Linked DNA regions of Stegostoma tigrinum. The protein of the gene in region 3 purifies or fractionates together with the protein of the main gene of each other region. This does not show direct contact. Links are inferred from orthologs where the notes say so. Each region holds a gene or a part of one and is shown on either strand. Other genes may lie near its edges.

Region 1 (6,977 bases), on a different chromosome or scaffold from region 3:
CATGGCACACAAGGCCATTCAGTCCACCGTGCCTGTGCCAACTCACTGAAAATTCTATCCAACTTGTCCTACATCCTCCCCAACAACACTGCGATTCTTTTCAAGTATTTATTTGATTCTCCCTGTTGGAACTTTCTATTGAAAGGTGTTTCTAATACCCTTTCAGACAGTTCCAAATCGCAGTAACTAGGTGCGTCAAAACATTCTCCAGACTATCTTGACTTTACTGAAAATGATCTCAGATCACCAGACCACCAGTAGGACCGATTAATCACGTCTATTAAAACCTCTTCACAAATCTGAACTAGATTACATAGGTTCATCTAATGGGAGTTTCACAGACAGGTCGACAGTTTTAAATCAATGCTCTCCTACATCTGCATGGCACGAGTTGATGATACAAACAGATCTTGACTCAGCATGCCATGGCTCCAAAGCCAGAAGTTCAAATTAAACAAATCAGCGAAATAGAGATATAATCTTAGTAACTACAAAGCTGTCACTTATGCCAAACACACTTATGTCAAGGTATTTTGAGTGAAGGAGAATGAGAAGCCGCACACTCGAACAGATTCCTAATGCTCGTACAGGTGAAACCACACCTACCTCTCGCAAAATGGCATTCCCGTCGTTCGTCATGACAATGCCACCCATGGGATCCAGCAACATCTGTTGGGGGTGGGGGGTAAATTACATCACATTAATTTCAATACTACACTAATGAGCTCCTGCTGTTTAACTTCAAATGCAGGTCTGGGGGGATATTTTTAAAGCGAGGAGGAGAAAAATTTATTAAAGGACATGTGAGGCAACTTTATTTTAAGCAGAGTGGTTCATGTGTGGAATAAACTGCCAAAGAAAGTAGCGTGTGGGGGCACAGTTACATTTAAAAGACATTTGTTTAAGTTCGTGAACAGGAAAAGTTTAGAGGGATATGGGCAAAGCGGAGGCCGGTGGGCCTAGTTCAGTTAGGGAACATGGTAGGCGTGGACTAGCTGGACCAAAGGATCTGTTTCCATGCCATATGATTCTAAATCTTCCCCCTTCAACTTAAATTATCCCATTACTCTTTAAAGACTGGAGCTGCAGCTGTGGCTGTCAGCATATTTGCATAACATCAGTCAATATCAATCGCTTCACACACGACTCCAAGTCCCACCCAGTCCATTTATAATTAACCCAACATGGTGTCATCTTGGTAGGTTGCTGCAAAACACCAGTCTAACACGCCAACGTTAATTTCTGTACCTTCATCATTGCCCTTGGTCCCAAACATGTTCGAATAACGTCCGCAATTGTCTGAAAAATATAACCATAAAAACATCAGGTGCCAATAACAGGGCTGTTGACTAGTACTGAGCAATATTTTTGGAGATCCTTTACTTGGGTTTTACTAGGAAAACAACCTCAGGCTGACTTGGTGATAACACTCTGCGGAGCCGGAGGGACACAACAGGCCAGACAGCAGATCAGTAGGAAAGTTGACATTTCGGGTCAGTACCCTTTCTCATGTTCTAAAGAAAGGTCCCTACCCGAAACGTCAACTTTTCTGCTCCTCTGATGCCGCCTGGCCTGCTGTATTCCTCCAGCTCCACACTGCTTTCTTTGACACCAGTTCCTGCAGTTCTTGCTATTTCAGGCTGACTTGGTGCTTTCTGGATGTCACTGACCTGTCTACTTAAAGGCAGGGGGATGAAAACCAAAGCAATTGAGAACACAGTGTAGAACTGGATGAACACAGCAGGCAGAAAAGCTGATGTTTCAGGCCTAGACCCTTTATCTCTGATGTAATCGAGAACATCCCTCCAGCTCACAATTTAGGGCTATATGCTGACACCAGTGTCCCAAGGCCCTTTTTTTTGGGCCGCACAAAAGATCTCAAGTCCCATGGCAACTCCACAAATGGCCTTGACCACCACAGAGGCCCAGAAAAAAAAATCCTGACCCTCCCCACCCCCATTGAGTCTCACAAGGAAATCATCCCAAGCAACCAGCTAAACTCAAAACAATCCAGAGCACAATTTGGATCAAGAATAAAATGGACGTACATGGAATAGTGTGGGTTAGATGGGCTTCAATTTGGTATGACAGGTCGGCACAGAGGGCCGAAGGGCCTGTACTGTGCTGTTATGTTCTATGGACTGCAGATCCCGATAGATCAATAATAAAACCCCCAGAGCCCCATTTAAATCCAGAGAAATCCTGAGATCCTATTGAGATACAATACAAAGGGACCATGATCCCTAAGAAACCGCCAATAATAGGTTCTGGGGCCCCAATAAAATACTCCAGATTTCCATTTGGACCAAATAAAAAGGCCTATGAGCTCCATCAAGAGCCAATAACAGGGTCCTAAGCCCTTTCAGACCCAAAGAAGTTGCACCTGAGCCCCATCAAGAGCCAATAAAAGGGTCCTAAGCCCCATACGGACCCAATAAAAGGTCCTGAGCCTCGTCAAACACATCGAGACCCCAGTAAAAGGCTCCTAGCTGCCGTGTTCCGCCCGACTCTCCCACCACCGTTCACCCGGTGGAGGAGAGGCCTAGGCCCGGGCTGCAGCCTCGGCGCTCGAGTAGTCCGTGTGCCCGAGCTCCAGGCCTCCTCCTCACCTTCGCTGCGTTAATATTGCCCTGTTGGACTTTACGGCCGGACTCCCGTTTCACATTCTGACCTGGGGAAGAGGAGATTTTTTTTAATTAAAACGGATGGCAATAACGGAGTTTATTAACAGAAATTCATAAAGGCACCAAATGAATAATCACGATCTGATTTGAGCCACTCACTTAAAACCAACACTTGCCGTCCCAACATTTTTCAATCTTTCTTTCTGTCTCTTTTTCTGGAACCTTCTGCTGCCTCACGATAGGCCCCGCAACCAAACCTGCTGCTCCGTCCCGCTAGCCGACACGCAGGATTGACGGTCACCCTTAGCCAATCACCACCCCGGTATCGCCGCGACCCTCCAATCGCAGGAAAGAAAAGGCGGGGCTTCCGTTCCGTCCGAGGCTGTTGGGTGAGTTTGACTGCACCCGGCTCCTCGTGCGGGACGGTTGGAACCGCTTGCGGGAGAGAAGGGGAAGGGGCGGGAATAGATCCAGGAGGTAGGCCAATGGTGGGTGACGGATGGGCTGACTGGCAGGGACGAGAGCGGTGTAAGAGGTGGAGCCACGTTGGTGGGCGGAGGGGATGAGCGCATGCGTCTCAGTGGGCGGGGATTATGCAGGGAACGCCTTTGGGGCTGGGTAATAAAATGTGAGGCTGGATGAACACAGCAGGCCAGGCAGCATCTCAGGAGCACAAAAGATGACGTTTCGGGCCTGGACCCTTCATCAGAGGGGGGGATGGGGGGATGGGGGGATAGGGGGGGATGGGGGGATGGGGGGATAGGGGGGGATGGGGGGATGGGGGGATAGGGGGGGATAGGGGGGGATGGGGGGATAGGGGGGGATAGGGGGGGATGGGGGGATAGGGGGGGATTAGGGGGATGGGGGGAGGGAACTGGAATAAATAGGGGGAGGCGGACCGAAGATGGAGAGAAAAGAAGATAGGTGGAGAGAGTATGGGGGGGTGGGGAGGGGATAGGTCAGTCTAGGGAAGACGGACAGGTCAAGGAGGTGGGATGAGGTTAGTGGGTAGCGGGGGGTGCGGTTTGGGGTGGGAGGAAGGGATGGGTGAGAGGAAGAACCGGTTAGGGAGGCAGAGACAGGTTGGACTGGTTTTGGGATGCGGTGGGGGAAGGGGAGATTTTGAAACTGGTGAAGTCCACATTGATATCATTGGGCTGCAGGGTTCCCAGGCGGAATATGAGTTGCTGTTCCTGCAACCTTCGGGTGGCATCATTGTGGCAGTGCAGGAGGCCCATGATGGACATGTCATCTAAAGAATGGGAGAGGGTGTGGAAATGGATTGCGACTGGGAGGTGCAGTTGTTTGTTGCGAACCGAGCGGAGATGTTCTGCAAAGCGGTCCCCAAGCCTCTGCTTGGTTTCCCCAATGTAGAGGAAGCCACACCGGGTACAATGGATACAGTATACCACATTGGCAGATGTGCAGGTGAACCTCTGCTTAATATGGAAAGTCATCTTGGGGCCTGGGATAGGGGTGAGGGAGGAAGTGTGGTGGCAAGTGTAGCATTTCCTGCGGTTGCAGGGGAAGGTGCCGGGTGTGATGGGGTTGGAGGGCGGTGTGGAGCGAACAAGGGAGTCACGGAGAGAGTGGTCTCTCCGGAAAGCAGGCAGGGGTGGGGATGGAAAAATGTCTTGGGTGGTGGGATTGGTTTGTAGATGGTGGAAGTGTCGGAGAATGATGCGTTGTATCCGGAGGTTGGTGGGGTGGTGTGTGAGAACGAGGGGGATCCTCTTTGGGTGGTTGTGGTTGGGGCGGGGTGTGAGGGATGTGTTGCGGGAAATACGGGAGATGTGGTCAAGGGTGTTCTCGATCACTGTTGGGGGGAAAGTTGCGGTCCTTGAAGAAGTTGGACATCTGGGATGTGCGGGAGTGGAATGTCTTATTGTGGGAGCAGATGCAGCGGAGGCGGAGGAATTGGGAATAGGGGATGGAATTTTTGCAGGAGGGTGGGTGGGAGGAGGTGTATTCTAGGTAGCTGTGGGAGTCGGTGGGGTCCTCCCCATCTCTGTGCAATCCCTTTTTATACCCTCTACGACAAACAACTTTTCCACATTTATCCTATCAAGGACCCCAGAAAATTTCTCTGAAGAAGAGCCCTGACCCAGACTGGAAAGGGCGGAGCTTAGGGGCAGGGGACACCGTGTTGGACCCAAGGGTGTGTTTGGATGATGGATGACTCTGTGGCTGAGTTGGTCATGTTCAACGCCATTTTCCTACCTTTTCCCCATAACACTTGATTCCCTTACAGATTAAAAATCCGTCCATCTCAATATTGAATATTCTTATCGATCCACGGCCTTCTGTGGTAAAGAATTTGACAGGTTCACTCCTGCCTAAAGGAAGCTATTCCTCCCCATCTCTGTGCAACCCCTTTTTATACCCTCTGATCCTAGACCGTCCCATGACGACAAACTACTTTTCCACGTTTATCCTATCAAGAACCCCAGAAAATTTCTCTGAAGAAGAGCCCTGACCCAGAACATCAACATTTCTGCTCCTCTGAAGCTGCCTGGACTGCTGTGCTGCTCCAGTCCCACACTGTGTTACCGCAGAAAATTGTATGTTCCAGATAAGATCACAGCGCGATGGGTATAAGACCAACCTCCTCAACTGTCCCCTCCTCAGTCAGCAAACTTTTGATTTGACTTTACTATTGTCACATGTACCAAGATACAGTGAAAAGTGGAGCAATTAACAAAGTTGCTGGAAAAACTCAGCTGATCTGGCAGCATCTGTGAAGGAAAAAACAGAGATAATGTTTTAGGTCCAGTGACCCTTCCTCAGAATCTAAGTATTGCTTTGCATGCTAACCAGACAAATCATACATTATATTAGTATATCAGGGTTAGAGAACAGAATGCAAAATATAGTGTAACAGCTGCAGAAAAGATCCACAGAAAGATCAACTCTAATATATGAGAGGTTCGTTTATGAGTCTGATGATGGTGGGGAAGAAGCTATTCTTAAATTTTGTATCTTTTGCCTGATGGAAGAGGGTGGAAGAGAGTAAAACTGGGTTAGGAGGGGTATTTGATTATGTTGGCTGGTTTCCCAAAGCGGAGGGAAACGTATACGGAGTCAGTGGAAGGAAGGCTGGTTTTTGGGATGGATTGGACTGCATTCACAAATTCTATCGCAACAGCGATAGGGTTCCCCTTATCCTCACCTACCATCCCACCAGCATCCACATCAGTAGATCATCAGATGCCATTTCCCCGAACTCCAGCAAGATGCTACCTCCAGGCACATATTCCCCTCCCCTCCCCTCCCTTGTCCGCCTTCCGCAGGGACCGTTCCCTCCGGGACACCCTGGTCCACATTTTCTTCACCCCCGACACCTTCCCACAGCCCTACAGTGCCTTCCCCTGTAACCGACAAAGGTGCAACAACTGCCGATTTACCACCTCTTTCTCCAGTATCCAAGAGCCCAAACATACCTTCCCACCCGCACTTCCCAGAGTCTAGTCTACTGCATACGCTGCTCACAATGTGGGCTCTTCTACATTGGGGAAATGAAGTGTAAACTTGGTGACCGCTTCACCGAACACCTACATTCTGCTCGCAAAAAAGACCCTGAACTACCTGTTGCCTGCCACTTCAATGCACCATCCTGCTCCCTGGCCAATATCTATGTCTCTGGCTTGCTGCAGTGTTCCAGTGAAGCCCAACACAAGCTGGAGGAACAACACCACATTTTCTGCTTGGGGACCCTACAGCCCTCCAGACCAAATATTGAGTTTAATAATTTTAGGACCTAAACTCTCCCATGTTCCAGCTTCCTACCACACACCAACCCTTGTTACTACATAGCCTGCCATTACACACCCCCTGTTGTTAGTCATTAAGAGTCCCCATTAACAACTATTCACCTTCCCACCTGATCATTAGCAACTCCTTTGTCTGTCCAACTGTCTTTCTCTCTCTTTGGGCTCTGTTCTATCATTTACTCCCCACCCCACCCACCTCCCTCCCTACTTTTTGCCTATAAACTGACGTTTTTCCAGCCACCATCAGTTCTGAGGAAGAATCATTGGACTCAAAATGTTAACCCTGTTTCCTCCTTCACTGATGCTGCCAGACCTGCTGAGCTTTTCCAGCAACTTTGTTTCTGTCATTTTGCGTTGTTTTGGGTAGAGCGGTTGCCATACCAAGCTGTTATGTATCCAGATGGAATTTCTTCTATGGTGCACCTATCAAAATTGGTAAGAGTTATTGCAAACATGCTGAATTTCCATAGTATCAGAGATAATGGGAACTGCAGATGCTGGAGATTCCAAGATAATAAAATGTGAGGCTGGATGAACACAGCAGGCCAAGCAGCATCTCAGGAGCACAAAAGCTGACGTTTCG
Region 2 (7,310 bases), on a different chromosome or scaffold from region 3:
AATGTTTTCCTCATGAGCAAAACTGTTCTTGGGACCCTTTTGTTTTTAAAACCGTGACTGAAACAGCAAATTATGATTTAATCTAATTAAGGTAATAGTGACGAAGGATGCTGTAGGTTGCTGAGAGACATAGATAAGCTGCAGAGCTGGGCTGAGAGGTGGCAAATGGAGTTTAATGCAGACAAGTGTGAGGTGATGCACTTTGGTAGGAGTAACTGGAGGGCAAAGTACTGGGCTAATGGTAAGATTCTTGGTAGTGTAGATGAGCAGAGAGATCTCGGTGTCCATGTACACAGATCCTTGAAAGTTGCCACCCAGGTTGACAGGGCTGTTAAGAAGGCATACAGTGTTTTAGTTTTTATTCATAGAGGGATCGAGTTCCAGAACCAAGCGGTCATGCTGCAGCTGTACAAAACTCTGGTGTGGCCACACTTGGAGTATTGCGTACAGTTCTGGTCACCGCATTATAAAAAGGACGTGGAAGCTTTGGAAAGGGTGCAGAGGAGATTTACTAGGATGTTGCCTGGTATGGTGGGAAGGTCTTATGAGGAAAAGCTGAGGGACTGGAGGCTTTTTTCGTTAGAGAGAAGAAGGTTGAGAGGTGACTTAATTGAAACATATAAAATAATCAGAGGGTTAGATAGGGTGGATAGGGAGAGCCTTTTTCCTAGGATAGTGACGGCGAGCACGAGGGGGCATAGCTTTAAATTGAGGTGTGAAAGATATAGGACAGATGTCAGAAATAGTTTCTTTACTCAGAGTGGTAAGGGAATGGAACACCTTGCCTGCAATGGTAGCAGATTTGCCAACTTTAAGTACATTTAAGTCATCATTGGACAAGCATATGGACGTTCATGGAATAGTGTAGGTTAGATGGGCTTCAGATCGGTATGACAGGTCGGCACAACATCGAGGGCCAAAGGGCCTGTACTGTGCTGTGCTGTTAGGTTCTATGTTCTATGTAGGTATCAGTCTAAAGTGATGGGTTGTTAGTCTGTAAATTCTCTTCAAAGAGTGGAGTGAAATTATTCAAGATTAAGTTAGATTTTCGATAAACAAGGGAGTTAACAGTTTCACAGTGCAGGCAGGGAGATAGAATGAAGAAAGACTTTTTGCATGCCAAAGCAGGATGAAGGGCTGAATGGCCTAGTCCTGCTTTATGTCTGCTGTCATTTTACAGCAAAATACTTTATGGCATGGTTAAAACTGACCATGGGAGAGGCTGCGACAGTGTGGCAAAGAAGCAAGAGATGCTGCTGTGTGGAATAATAAAGAGATTGAGGCATACTGAGACTGTGTCTAAATACAGGCAGACCCCAGTTGCAAAAAAGTTCCACGTGGAGTCCACTCAGTTTGATTTGTATGCATGTCAGAACGCAATGCAGGAAATATAAAACTAGCCACTCATAAGTACAGGAAAGATTCCTACATCTGTCAGATCTTTAAAAATTACACCTTTTTTGACTGCATTTGATAGAATATTCATAAATTCAAGGCCTGTTGCACTTGTATTGGGAGAAGGGGGATGAAAAAGTCACAAGAGTGGTAGAGAACTCTTGACATTACACAGTCTTAGTAGAGCACCTTATTAGAGGCCATCATGCCTCAGACAAGCAAAGAGACTGAGAACGAGAGTCCATCATAACCTCAGGTGACATGAAAATTGGACGTAGCACTGATGTCACACTTTGCCACAATCCAGTCTGCCAACTGAGCTAACCGACCTCATGACAAAGCAGAAGAAACATATTCAAACCATCATGTCTCCGCCTCCATTCAATCAGATCAGGTTTATGTGAATCATTGTCTCCACTTTCCCACCTTTTACTCATAAATTAAAAATCTGTCTCAGCATTGAATAAACCTAACTCAGTCTCAATAGGTCTTTGTGGTAAAGAATGCCAAGATTCTTACTTAACTGCATAGAAGAAATTCCTCCTCAACCCACTTTAAATGTGTGACGATTTCTTTTAAGATCAATCCCTTTAACCCTACCACAAGGGGAAACAACCTTTCGACATCTACTCTGTCAAGTCTTCCAAGAATCTTTTATGCTTCAAAACTATTGCCTCCCATTTTTCTAAATTCCAACCAGTACAGGCCCAAACCTACTGAAGCGCTCCTACTAAGTCAATGCCTCTGTATCAGGTAAATGATGAGCGTTTAAAACGCCATGGTATGTATACAAGACGACAGGAAAGGTGCTGGAGATGCTTGGCAAACAGTGCGGGCACATCGAGCTGAAGGGGCTTTATCCAGGCTGTAAGATTCAATCACATGTCAAAGTCTACAACTTCCTGCAAGAAGAGTCAGGGCAGCTGGAACACATGAAAAAGGAGGAGGATGGGGTGGAGCTGGAATGGGGCAAGTAAGTCCGGGGACTGGGATGAAAGGAGGGAGGGGCGGATATGGATGAAGAGAGAGTTGGGGGGGGGAAAGAGGCGATGAAGAGGGCTTTGAGGGCATATAAAGCTCCACCTTGGACCCGCCCCCTGAGCGGAAGTGGCACCGGACCGGAAGTTCCGCCCGGTCAGGCGGGTGGGGCGGAGCCGAGCCGAGCCGGGGAGAGCGGCCGAGCCACTGGTCTCACTATTTGGCAGCGGCGGAAAGGCCGACTCTGTCGCTTAAACCCAGGCGGGGATTCTGTCTGAAATCGCATCGAGAATAAAACTGTTGGCCTTGGCGCTCCCCACATACCTTCTCGCAGAGGGTCCGCACTTGGTTCTCGTTGAGTTGCTTGCACTCGTTCAGCTGCTCGATCCAATCGTCCAGCTCCTTGGTGAACGCCTTATTATCCATAACTATCGGGAACGGTTTTTTTTTTAAAAATTATCAGACAGGGTGTTGAGGTGAAAAGGAAAATTTAAATAAAAAGTCTTGGGTGGGAGGGGGAATCGGGAGGTTAAAATTTTGATCATAAATAAGTTACATGGGTTCGGAACCCCTGAGAAGCTCGGCGCCGTCCGTCACTGTGAGAGTGAGAGGGAGAAAAAGCGGCGCGCGTGTCCGCAAAATCGCGCGCGCACGCACGCACCGACGTAATTCACGTTCCCGCGGCGCGTGACTGAGGAGGCGAAGCGCGCCCGCGAGGTCGGGCGGCGGTTGGAAGCCCGTTTGAATGGGTGCGCGAGCGAAGACAGTTGCCTTTATTTGTCACGCCCCTTATGTACCACGTGGTGTGGCACGTTCGGCCCCTTGCAGACAGACAATAGACAATAGGTGCTGTAGTAGGCCATTCGGCCCTATCGAGCCAGCACCACCATTCATTATGATTATGGCCGATCATCCACAATCAGTATCCTGGTCCTGCCTTATCCCAGTAACCCTTGATTCCACTATCTTTAAGAGCTCTATCCATCTCCTTCTTGAAAGTGTCCAGAGAGTTGGCCTCCACTGCCTTCTGGGCACAGCATTCCATATATCCACCACGCTCTGAGTGAAGAAGTTTTTCCTCAACTCAGTTCTAAATGGCCTACCCCTTATTTTTAAACTGTGTCCTCTCGTTCTGGACTCACCCATCAGCGGAAACATGCTTCCTGCCTCCACAGTGTCCAATCCCTTAATAACCTTATATGTCTCAATCAGATCCCCCCTCATCCTTCTAAACTCAAGTGTGTACAAGCCCAGTCGCTCCAATCTTGCAACATACAATAGTCCCGCCATTCTGGGAATTGACCTCGTGAACCTACACTGCACTCCCTCAATAGCAAGAATATCCTTAAACTTGGAGACCAAAACTGCACACAATACTCCAGGTGCGGTCTCACCAGGGCCCTGTACAGCTGCAGAAGGACCTCTTTGCTCCTATACTCAATTCCTCTTGTTATGAAGGCCAGCATGCCATTAGCTTTCTTCACTGCCTGCTGTACCTGCATGCTTGCTTTCGCTGACTGATGTACAAGAACACCCAGATCTCGTTGTGCTTCCCCTTTACCTAACTTGACTCCATTGAGATAGTAATCTGCCTTCCTGTTCTTGCCACCAAAGTGGATAACCACACATTTATCCACATTAAACTGCATCTGCCATGCATCCGTCCACTCACCTAGTCTGTCCAAGTCACCCTGTATTCTAATAACATCCTCCTCACATTTCACATTGCCACCCAGTTTTGTGTCATCAGCAAATTTGCTAATATTACTTTTAATGCCTTCGTCTATATCATTAATATATGTCGTAAACAGCTGCGGTCCCAGTACCGAACCTTGTGGTACCCCACTGGTCACTGCCTGCCATTCCAAAAGGGACCCGTTTATCACTACTCTTTGCTTCCTGTCAGCCATCCAATTTTCAATCCAACTCAGTATTTTGCCCCCAATACCATGTGCCCTAATTTTGTTCACCAATCTCCTATGTGGGATTTTATCAAAGGCTTTCTGAAAGTCCAGGTACACTACATCCACTGGTTCTCCCTTGTCCATCTTCATAGATACATCCTCAAAAAATTCCAGAAGATTAGTCAAGCACGATTTCCCCTTCGATGCCACGTGATGTACGGAAACACGGAGTCAGCCATTCATTGTAGGCATAGCTGGATGTCTAAGATAACAAAGTGTGGGGCTGGATGAACACAGCATCCTAGGAGCACAAAGGCTGACATTTCGGGCGTAGACACTTCATCAGAAAAGGGGGAGGGGGAGAGGGTTCTGAAATAAATAGGGAGTGGGGAGGTGGATCGAAGATGGATAAAGGAGAAAATAGGTGGAGAGGAGATAGACAAGTTGAGGCCAGATGCCAGCTCTCTGACACCTCCTCCTACCGCTCCCTGGATCATGACCCCACCCCTGAGCACCAAATCGTCATCTCCCAAACCATCCACAACCTCATCACCTCAGGTGACCTCCTATACATAGCCTCCAACTCATTGTACCCCAACCCCACACCGCTCGCTTCCGTCTCCTTCGCAAATTCCACAAACCCGCCTGCCCTGGTCGACCTATTGTCTCCGCCTGTACCTGCCGCACCAAACTCACCTCCACTTAAGTGGACTCCATTTTCTGCTCCTTGGCCCAGGAACTCCCTACCTACGTCCGTGACACCACCCACGCCCTCCACCTCCACCAGAACTTCCAATTCTCTGTTCCCCAACACCTCATTTTCACCATGGACGCCCAGTCCTTATACACCTGCATTCCCCATGCAGATGGCCTAAAGGCCCTCCGCTTCTTCCTGTCCCACAGGCTCAGCCAGTCCCTCTCCACCGAAACCCTCATCCGCTTCACCCTCAACAACTTCTCTGTTGATCCCTCCCACTTCCTACAGGCAAAAGCAGTGGCCATGGGTACCCATATGGGCACAAGCTGTGCCTGCCTCTTTGGAGGTTATGTGGAACAATCCCTCTTCTGCACCTACACTGGCCCCAAACCCCACCTCTTCCTCCATTGCATTGATGACTGTACTGGGCCGCCTCGTGCTCCCATGAGGAACTGAAACAGTTCATCCACTTCACCAGCACCTTCCATCCCAACCTCAAGTTCCCCTGGACCATCTCCAACACATCCCTCGCCTTCCTGGACCTGTCTGTCTCCATCTCCAGCAACTACCGAGAAACTGATACCCATTTCAAGCCCACCGACTCCCACAGCTACCTAGAATACACCTCCTCCCACCCACTTTCCTGCAAAAATTCCATCCCCTATTCCCAATTCCTTCGCCTCTGCTGCATCTGGTCCCAGGATGAGGCATTCCCCTCCCGTACATCTCAGATGTCCTTGTTCTTGAAGGACCACAACTTATCCCCCACAATGGTTGAGAACACCCTCGAACGTGTCTCCCACATTTCCTGCAGCTCATCCCTCACACCCTGCCCCCGCAATAACGCCAAAATAAAATCCCCTTCATCCTCGCATACCACCCCACCAGCCTCCTGATCCAACACATCATCCTCCAACACTTCCACCATCTGCAATCTGACCCCACCTCCAAAGACATTTTTCCATCCCCACCCTTGTCTGCTTTCCAGAGGGACCACTCTCTCTTTGACTCCCTTGGCCCTTCCACACTCCCCTCCCACCCCTCCACACCCAGCACATTCGCTGCAAAGGCAGAAAGTGCTACACCTGCCCCCACACCTTCTCCCTCAACCACATCCCAGGCCCCAAGATGGCTTTCCACATCAAGCAGATGTTCACTTACATATCTGCTAATGTGGTATACTGCATCCACTGTACCCGTTATGGCTTCCTCTACATCGGGGAAACCAAGCAGAGGTTTGGGGACCGCTTTGCAGAACACCTACGCTCGGTTCGCAATAAACAACTGCACCTCCCAGTCGCGAACCATTTCAACTCCACCTCCCATTCCTTAGACAACATGTCCATCCTGGGCCTCCTGCAGTGCCACAATGATGCCACCCAAAGGTTGCAGGAACAGCAACTCATATTCCGCTTGGGAACCCTGCAGCCCAATGGTATCAATGTGGATAGCACAAGTTTCAAAATCTCTCCTCCCCCTACTGTATCCCAAAACCAGTCCAGCTCATCCCCACCTCCCTAACCTGTTCTTCCTCTCACCTATCCCCTCCTCCCACCTCAAGCCGCACCTCCATCATCCGCCCCCTTGACCTATCAATCCTCCTGGGCTGGCCTATCCCCTCCCTACCTCCCCACCTGCACTCACCTGTAAATGGTCCATCCCCGCCCCTTCAACTTGTCTGTCTCCTCTCCACCTATCTTCTCCTCTATCCATCTTTGATCCACCTCCCCCTCTCTCCCTATTTATTTCAGAACCCTCTCCCCCTCCCCCTTTTCTGATGAAGGGTCTAGGCCCGAAACGTCAGCTTTTGTGCTCCTAAGATGCTGCTTGGCCTGCTGTGTTCATCCAGCTCCACACTTTGTTATCTTGGATTCTCCAGCATCTGCAGTTCCCATTATCTCTGATAGCTGAATGTCTAACTGAATGCTCTGTTCACGCTTTCTCCCCATACTCTTTGGTCCCTTTATCCCTGTCAATTGCATCTAACTCCTCTGTGAAAACAGTTGATGTTTTGGCCTCAACTGCTTTGTGTGGTAGTAAAGCCATTTAATCTCAGTTCTAAAAGGCTTATCTTGTACCCTTAGACTGTTGACACCCTTTGCTCCATTCACTATGTCCATCTGTACCCTGTGACACCCCTTTTAGACTATACGACATTGGAGTAGAAGTTATGCCATTTAGCCTATCGAGTTTGCTCCATCATTCCATCATGGCTGATAAGTTTCTCAACCCATTCTCCCCATAACCCTTGATCTCCTTGACAATCTCACCCGTCACATCCTCCTGTACCCTGTGACATCCCTTTGCACACCTATCATGTCCTTGTGTACGCTGTG
Region 3 (7,837 bases):
TAAGTAGTGTTTCCAACAGTTTTATTTTTGCCCTATCTCATGTGTGATCCCTTTCCTTGTGTGATCAACACTGACTGTTTATTAACTATTTTACTGAATTTATGTTTGGAAAGTACTGTAAAGAAAAAATCACATTAAAATGATACATTTCAGGACAGCCATATTTGTTAGCAAGTTTTGAGAAGATTTGTAGCTCAGGTTGAGGTTCTGGATGTAAGTTTGCTTGCTGAGCTGGAAGGCTCGTTTTCAGACGTTTCGTCACCATTCTAGGTAACATCATCAGTGAGCCTCCGGTAAAGCGCTGGTGTTATGTCCCGCTTTCTATTTATCAGCGAGCAAACCCACATCCAGAGCCATATTTGTGTTCAGGACACCCCAAAGTGCTTTACAGCCACCAAAATTTTCTACAATGTGGATACCATTGTATTGCAGTGAATGTAGCAAGCAATCTCAATATACAACAAAGTTCCACCGACAGCAACTTCACAATCACTGGTTAATGTGTTTTTATAATTTTCGGTAAGGCAATATCATTGGCCTGGATATTGAGAACCTCCCTGCTCGTCTTCAACTGGTGGCTTGGGAAATTTTATGACCATCTGAGAGGTGAGACAAGGCATTGGTTTCATTTCTTTTAGTGTAACTATAGCAGTTCTGATAGCGCAGCACTCATTTTGTACTGGATTGGAAGTGTCATCCAAAACTACTTGCTCAAGTATCAAAAGGCGAACATGAAGTTTTGGCCTTCTGTCTCAGATGCTGGACTATTTTTCCTCCAATTTTCACCCTAGAATTTCTCATCTAATTTTGTTGTATTGCCTCTACATTTTCTGTATTTGGGTTGGTTTTATTTTAAATTATTATCCCAATAATTTTCTTTCTTCTCTTCATTTATCCACATTTTCTGCCTGTTGAGCAATGTCTGATCTGTATTGGAGTCATCTGCCTTTTGTACATTTCCTGGTGTACTTTACACCCTGCCCATTCTTCTACCAATTTATCTAGTTTAATTCCATTCTATTCTCATTAATATTGGCTTTTGCCTCAGTTAAACATTTTGATCGTTGGCCGCTCCTTCATCTGTCCAACTTTCAATTCAAGCTTGTATTTTCAATTGGCTCTTACCTACATGTATCCTTACCCTCATCTTACCAAATTGTTTCACTTCAACTTGTTAGTTTGTTTGTGTGTTTGTTTAATTACAACAAAAAGAGAAAATGTCGTAACTGCACACAGGAAATTTAGCATTTATGAATAACTAAGACTTGGCTGATACTGAGGCTAAATGACCTGCTGTGTATTTCTAACACTTTTTATTTTTAGCTTACATTTTCAGCTTTTACAATTTCCTTTCCTCTAGCAAAAATAAAGATAGAAAACATAAGAATATTCAACAATGTATAAACTTCAGGTCTATGATTGTTCATCAAAACAACTTATTCAATTTAACCTGCTACAAACTCAGTTTCACAAATTCTGAATTGTTAAAGAAAGAAAAAAGCTGCCTCTATGTAATATCGTCAGGACCACAGGAGCTCTCAAAATGCTTTAAAGCCAATAGTGGTATGCTATTCAAAAAGGGTGATAGGGATAAACTAGGAAACATCAGGCCAGCATGTGGAACTATTTGAAAACATTCTGAGGGACAGAATTAATCTCCACTCGGAGAGTCTAGGTTTGCCCATACAGCTTTGTCAAGGTAAGATAATGTGTAACAAATTTAATTACATTTTTTGAGGAATTGACTAGGTGTGTAGATGAGAGTAGTGCCATTGATATAGCCTACATAGACTTCAATAACTCTTTTGACAAGCTCTCGCATGGCAGACAAATTAAGAAGCTAAATATCCATGGGATCCGGGGCAATTTGACAAATTGGATCCAAAATTGGCTTAGTTGCTGGAAGCAATGTTTATAAGGCCAGTAAGTTCATAAATGACACAAAATGATATGGTAAATACCAAGGAGCAAAGCTTTAGTCTGCAGGTTAACATACACAGCTCATCAGATGAGCTGAACAGTGACAAAAAGAATTTAGTCCTGAAAAGTGAGATGATGCATTTTGAGACAAATAACAAGGTGACAGAGTACAGGTTTAACCCTCAGAAGTACAGAGCATCAGAGACACCATTAGAGTATCTGTACCTGGATCCTTGAAAGCAATAGGGCAGTAGATAAATATGGATAAGGCATATGGATTTTAGCCTTTGTTTTGAGGCATTATGTACAAGAGCGAGGAGGTCATGATGGAGGTGTGTAAAACATTAATTAGATCACAACTGGAGTGCTATGCGCAGATCTGTGTGCTGCATGAGAGGAACGATCTCATTGCACATGGTGCAGAGAAGATTCACTTGGACGTTGCCTGGGCTGGAGTGATTCAGCTATAAAGAGAGACTAGATAGGCTGAGGTTGTTTTAATTTGAGCAGAGAAGGCTAATGGGAGACATAGTAGAGGTGTTACAAAGTTATGAGGGGCATAGATAGGAAGAAACTTCTCCCATTGGTAGAGGGGCTAATAAACAAAGAACTTAGAAACAAGGTATAGGGCAGGAGGTTCAGAGGGGTTTGGAATTTATTTTCACATCTAGAGCAAACACCTAAAATAGTGGTATAGGAGGGAATTCTCGCAACTTTTGAGAAACATTTGGATGAGCAATTAAAATACTTCAATATAAAAGGCTATGGGCCAAGTGCTGAAAAATGGGATTGGATAGGTGTTTAAAATTTTTGAGAAGATTTGTTGCTTGGGTTTTAGTTCAGGTTGTAGACATGTTTGCCAAGCCAGTGGGTTTGGCTGCAGATGTTTCATCATCCTGCTAGGTAACATTGTCAGTCCATTTCTGGTTAAGCATTGATGTTCTGTTCCACTTGTTATTTATATGCCTCAGTTTGTTGGGTAGTTTGGTACCACTTCTGGTCTGTTTCTCATTGGTTTGTACATCGCATCTAATTCAGTGCATTTGTTATGGGAGTTCCCGTTAGAATACCAGGTCTCCAGGAATTCCCTGGCGCATCACTGTTTAGCTTGTGACATTATGGATGTGTTGTCCCTTGTTGTCAATGTGTAGTGAGACAAGTGAGAAATGGTTGTGTCTATTGGTGGCTAGTTGGTGTTTTTGTATCTGTATTGTCAGTTTTCTTCTGATTTGACCTGGGTTGTGTTTCTCACAGTCCTTGCATGGTATTTTGTATATTACACCAGTTTTGGGTATGGGATCCTTTATGTTTGTAAGTAGCTGTCATCGAGTGGTTGTTGGTTTGTGGACTACTTCGATACCTAGGGGTCTGAGTAATCTTGTGGTCATCTCTGAAACCTCATTGATGTGCAGTAGGGTGACTAGTGAGTCTGGTTGTGTTGTGTCTTCCTGTTGCAGTCTGTTGGTGGATTGTGCTTTTTGAGTATCCAATCCTTTTGAAGACTCTGTATAGATGCTCCTGTTCTGCTTTGTGTAGATCGGGGTTGCTGCAATGTGTTGTATGAAACAGTATCCTGACGCAGCTTTGTTTATGGGTGTTGATATAATTGAGTATCTGGTGCAAATGGGTGGTCTTTCTGTAAACGCAGGTCTGGAGTTCCCCTTTGTGTTTGCGTTCTACCTTTATGTCACTTTACCGATGATAGACAATAGACTTCTGAGATTAAATTGTTCTTTTATTGGCTAACCCAACATTTCACTTTTTGACTCTACACGTCTGGCGACTGACCCTCCATTGGATACAGAAAGATCCTGCCTTTCCCTCCGGAGGTACGAGGGCCTGAGAAAGGACGGCACAGATTTACAGACAATGGGAACTGCAGATGCTGGAAAATCCGAGATAACAAAGTGTGGAGCTGGATGAACACAGCAGGCCAAGCAACATCAGAGGACCACCTATCATGCTGCTTGGCATGTTGTGTTCACCCAGCTCCACACTTCGTTATCAGAGATAATGGGAACTGCACATGCTGGAGAATCCAAGATAACAAAGTGTTCCACAAAAATCACCATGAAGGGTCTAGGCCCGAAACGTCAGCTTTTGTGCTCCTGAGATGCTGCTTGGCCTGCTGTGTTCATCCAGCTCCACACTTTGTTATCGTGGGTTCTCCAGCATCCGCAACTCCCATTATCTCTCTCCACACTGTTATCCGGGCGCAGATTTGCTCATGCGCATTGCGGCTCAGAACCCGACGGCCTGCGCCGTTGCCAGTAGAGGACACGCCCACCATCGAGGACCAGAATGCACATGCGCGATAATAAAATGTGAGGCTGGATGAACACAGCAGGCCAAGCAGCATCTCAGGAGCACAAAAGCTGACGTCTGTCCCGGCACATGCGCGAAACTGGATATCCAGCGCAGGCGCAAAGCTGGTCGGCTTTAAATCAAAAAGCGCAGTTGTGCGGGGAGGTTGAGGCCCTGGGAGGCAGAAGAAGGGTTCGGACGGCGTGACGTCAGCAGCACTAGCGGCTCGCTTGAAGCTGTCGGCGCATGCGTAGATAGGGTCTATGGAGGGGTGGAAATTGATTAAGGATGGGGGCGGGTCCTCAATAGAGGTGGTAAAATCGGAAGTAGCTGGGAAAATTCAGTAGGGCTGGCATCATCTGTGAAGAGAAAGTAATTTTAATGTTTCGGGTCCGATTACCCTTCTTCAGAACTGAAGCCTTGACTCCACAGGTGCTGCCAGACCTGCAGAGTTTATCCAGCACTTTCTGATTTCCAGCACCGCACTGCTTTAGTTTTCCCTTTGGAGTGGAGTGGGGCTCTGAGGAGGACGGGCTAGAGGGATTCAGAATGGGGTCGAGAAAGTTGGGCGGGGTCTAGGGAGGTTGAGAAAAGGTCGAAGTTTGGTGCGGCGGACGCGCATGCGCCGGTAGCAGTGGGTGAGGCAGAGACAGCGGCCAACCGTCAGTGGGTTTGTTTGTGACAGCAGCGGCTTTATAACATCATCATCATCATCATCATCGTCATCAGCAGCAGCTCGATTCAGTCGAGGTCATGGAACGCGCAGAGCGGTTTAAATTTTAACGGCCGGCCCCGCGCGCGCGCGCCGCCGAGCGGCCAGAGGAAGTCCAGGGCCGGTGGACTGACCAAGTACCGGGGCGGCGTCACCGCCACCGCGGTCGTGGTCGTAGCCGCCGGCGTGGAGGCCGAGGGGACGGACGAAGGGTTTTGGGCCCCAGCCATGGACGAACACCCGGGAGCCGGGGTGTTCTTCGGCAATAACTCAGTGCTGAGCGGAGGAGGAGGCGGCCCGGGTATCGGGAGCAGGAACCTGCAGCCGGCGCAGCAACCGGGGCCCGAGGGGGAAGCTCAGAGGCCGCAGTACAACATTCCGGGGATCCTGCACTTCCTGCAGCACGAGTGGGCCCGCTTCGAAATAGAGAGGACGCAGTGGGAGGTGGACAGGGCCGAGTTGCAGGTAAATAACGCACCCCTCGGCCAGGCCGCGCTTCATGCTTGGATACTCGATTGCTGACCACCTCTCCCTGATCAACGGGGTAAGGGGGTGGTGGATACGTTAAGATGGCCGCCTGTCAAAGGAAGGAAGGAGGATAGTGTTGCTTTTTCTTCAAAGACCCTCAACTTTGCAGCTCTTCCCCAGTGACGATGACAGTTTAAATCAGAGGAGCTTTGCAACGACATTCCAAAAATGCCTTCAGTAATATTCTTAAACGGAATTGGGCAAGTTACTTGCAGGGGAAAGTTTGTAGGACCTTTGAAGAAAGAGCAAGTGGTCGGTATCGTTTTGAGTTCTTTCAAAGAGCCAGGACAGGCGCGATGGGTCGAGTAGACTTCTCGGTGCAGCCTGATTGTATGGAATGCTCCAGAAGAAATATGATCAGTTAATTGGCCAGGATTGTCAGTAGTTAAAGGGAGCAAACTTAAAATAGACAAGAGCACCAGAGGGACGAAGAATTTTTTTCTTGAGACAGCCATTTATGATCTAAATGCACCCTCTGAAAGGGGAGGAAGAACAGATTTAGTAGTAGTGGCAGTCAGATAAATACTGGGAGAATGGGGAGATTGCAGAGATATGGCTGAAGACCAGCGGAGTAGAAATAACTAGATAGTTTTGTCAAAGAATTGGAAGTGGAATGATCTGTGTGTTGGGACAACTGCACGGTTAAACAATCATGCACTTTTTGCTCCATCCACTAGCCTTTACCCTCACCAGTCCTGGTGATCCAGCCTGTATGAATTGATCGACATTAACTTGATTCAGCTAGACTGTTGGTTCGTTCTTGAGCAGTTCTGAAGGGCCTTGATTTAAATTGGTTGTACTGGAACAAGATTCAGTATTCTGAATTGAAGGGAGTCACCTTTGGCCTCATTAGAGATTTAAACATCCATGATTTAGCAATTTCTGCCCAGTGTTTTCTGTTGTTATCTATCAATGAATCATTGTAACCAAAGGTTACACAATGACATTCCAAAAGAAACACAGCTGTCCTGAATAGTATAATGTTCTTGGTATAGTCTAAAGGATTCCCCACAACGTAACAGGACAAAAATTGGAGTTTTTGATCATTATACATCAACCAGAGCACCACCTTTTAAAATTATAGTAATTTACACGCCTTGGTCAAGATCTGTGTGACATTCCTGAATTTGGTGTGTCTAATGGCATATCATCATGCCTAACATTATTGTTCAAGACTGCATTTCAACAACTTACATTGTGTCTTGAGTGTAACTTTTTTTAATGTTTAACAGTTGTTAGGAGAAATTGACAAAATTGCAGAAAGGCTTGACAGCATGTTGAAAAGAATTAGACAATGTCTTTTCTCCATTATTATAATAGAATAAACCCAAAGTTGAGATCGTTATGGGATGTGTACCTTGTGAGCTGTCTACCATTTACGTATTATCAAGGAGTAACCATGGGATACTGTTCATGCAGCTGGTTCCATTAATATTTCTGTTGCATTGTTTTAGGAATCTGCAGGATATGAAACACTCCCAGCTTTTTTATTTATACAAATAATGTAAAACCAAAAGGGAAGCTGAGACTTCAGTGTACCCTCTTATACTTGAAATATAATTTACTAAGCTGAATGTTCTGTGGCCGTGGCACTTCAGCATTCATAACCTTTAGCCTACGAAATCTGAATTCTTGAATTATCTATCAACTCAGTATGTGGAAGTATTTCTTCTGAAAGCTACCACTTTCAGTACCTTTAACATATCCCCACTGCTTTCCTGTTGCTGATTTCCCCCTTGAGTTTCTCTGACTTGTTATTGAAGCTAAGATTTTTTAAACAATTACCTATTGAAATGTCGGTAAAGTGCTTACTACAGCAACTAAAGCTACATGAACTTATATAGAACCTTTTAAACATTTTAAGGTGATTTGCAGGAGCAAATACCCTCATGGGGATATTGGGGTAGATGGCAACAAGCTTGGTTAAAGAAGGAGCATCTTAATGGAGGAGAGAGAGGTACTGTACTTTAGGGAAGGAATTCCAGAGGTTTAGGACCTCTGAGATATACCATGGGCCACAGTTTTGAATTACTGCACATTTTTAAATAGGGTAAAAAGTGGAGCTAGGATTGTAATATGTTGGCAAAATATAGAAGTAACATGAAGGTTTCAACAGAACGTGAGTTCAATTAGGCGATGCTAGAGTTGGAAATAAACAATTGTATTGATGGTATGGCTATGTAATTGGAATCTCATCTTGGTTAAAATGACAGGTTTACGTGTTCCCTGGTTCAGACTCTGGCAGCTGTGGGGGAAAAGAATGGAGTTTTTGGTGGGAGCAGAAACACCATGCTGCTTCCAATAAATTATAAATTTCAATCTTATGGTAACTTTTTACAAGGTGCTAATGAGACCCTAGCTGGTATACTGAGG

The links. Proteins that work in one complex are often made in the same cells at the same time.
Region 1: the proteins of strn (region 3) and cct3 purify together in Homo sapiens (affinity purification with mass spectrometry; 3 studies listed by BioGRID and IntAct, with this or other methods). This does not show direct contact. The link is inferred for Stegostoma tigrinum from reciprocal best matches to the Homo sapiens genes STRN and CCT3.
Region 2: the proteins of strn (region 3) and ppp2cb purify together in Homo sapiens (affinity purification with mass spectrometry; 5 studies listed by BioGRID and IntAct, counting the BioPlex papers as one, with this or other methods). This does not show direct contact. The link is inferred for Stegostoma tigrinum from reciprocal best matches to the Homo sapiens genes STRN and PPP2CB.

The regions. Positions count from the first base shown.
Region 1 is NC_081400.1:3,835,919-3,842,895, forward strand, and holds the start of cct3 (T-complex protein 1 subunit gamma), read right to left. Parts: upstream 3,007-6,977; 5' UTR 2,812-3,006; coding exon 2,784-2,811; intron 2,672-2,783; coding exon 2,610-2,671; intron 1,300-2,609; coding exon 1,249-1,299; intron 670-1,248; coding exon 607-669; intron 1-606. UniProt on the Homo sapiens protein: Component of the chaperonin-containing T-complex (TRiC), a molecular chaperone complex that assists the folding of actin, tubulin and other proteins upon ATP hydrolysis.
Region 2 is NC_081354.1:12,436,517-12,443,826, forward strand, and holds the start of ppp2cb (serine/threonine-protein phosphatase 2A catalytic subunit beta isoform), read right to left. Parts: upstream 3,007-7,310; 5' UTR 2,800-3,006; coding exon 2,698-2,799; intron 1-2,697.
Region 3 is NC_081357.1:94,950,807-94,958,643, reverse strand, and holds the start of strn (striatin), read left to right. Parts: upstream 1-4,817; 5' UTR 4,818-5,164; coding exon 5,165-5,401; intron 5,402-7,837. UniProt on the Homo sapiens protein: Calmodulin-binding scaffolding protein which is the center of the striatin-interacting phosphatase and kinase (STRIPAK) complexes.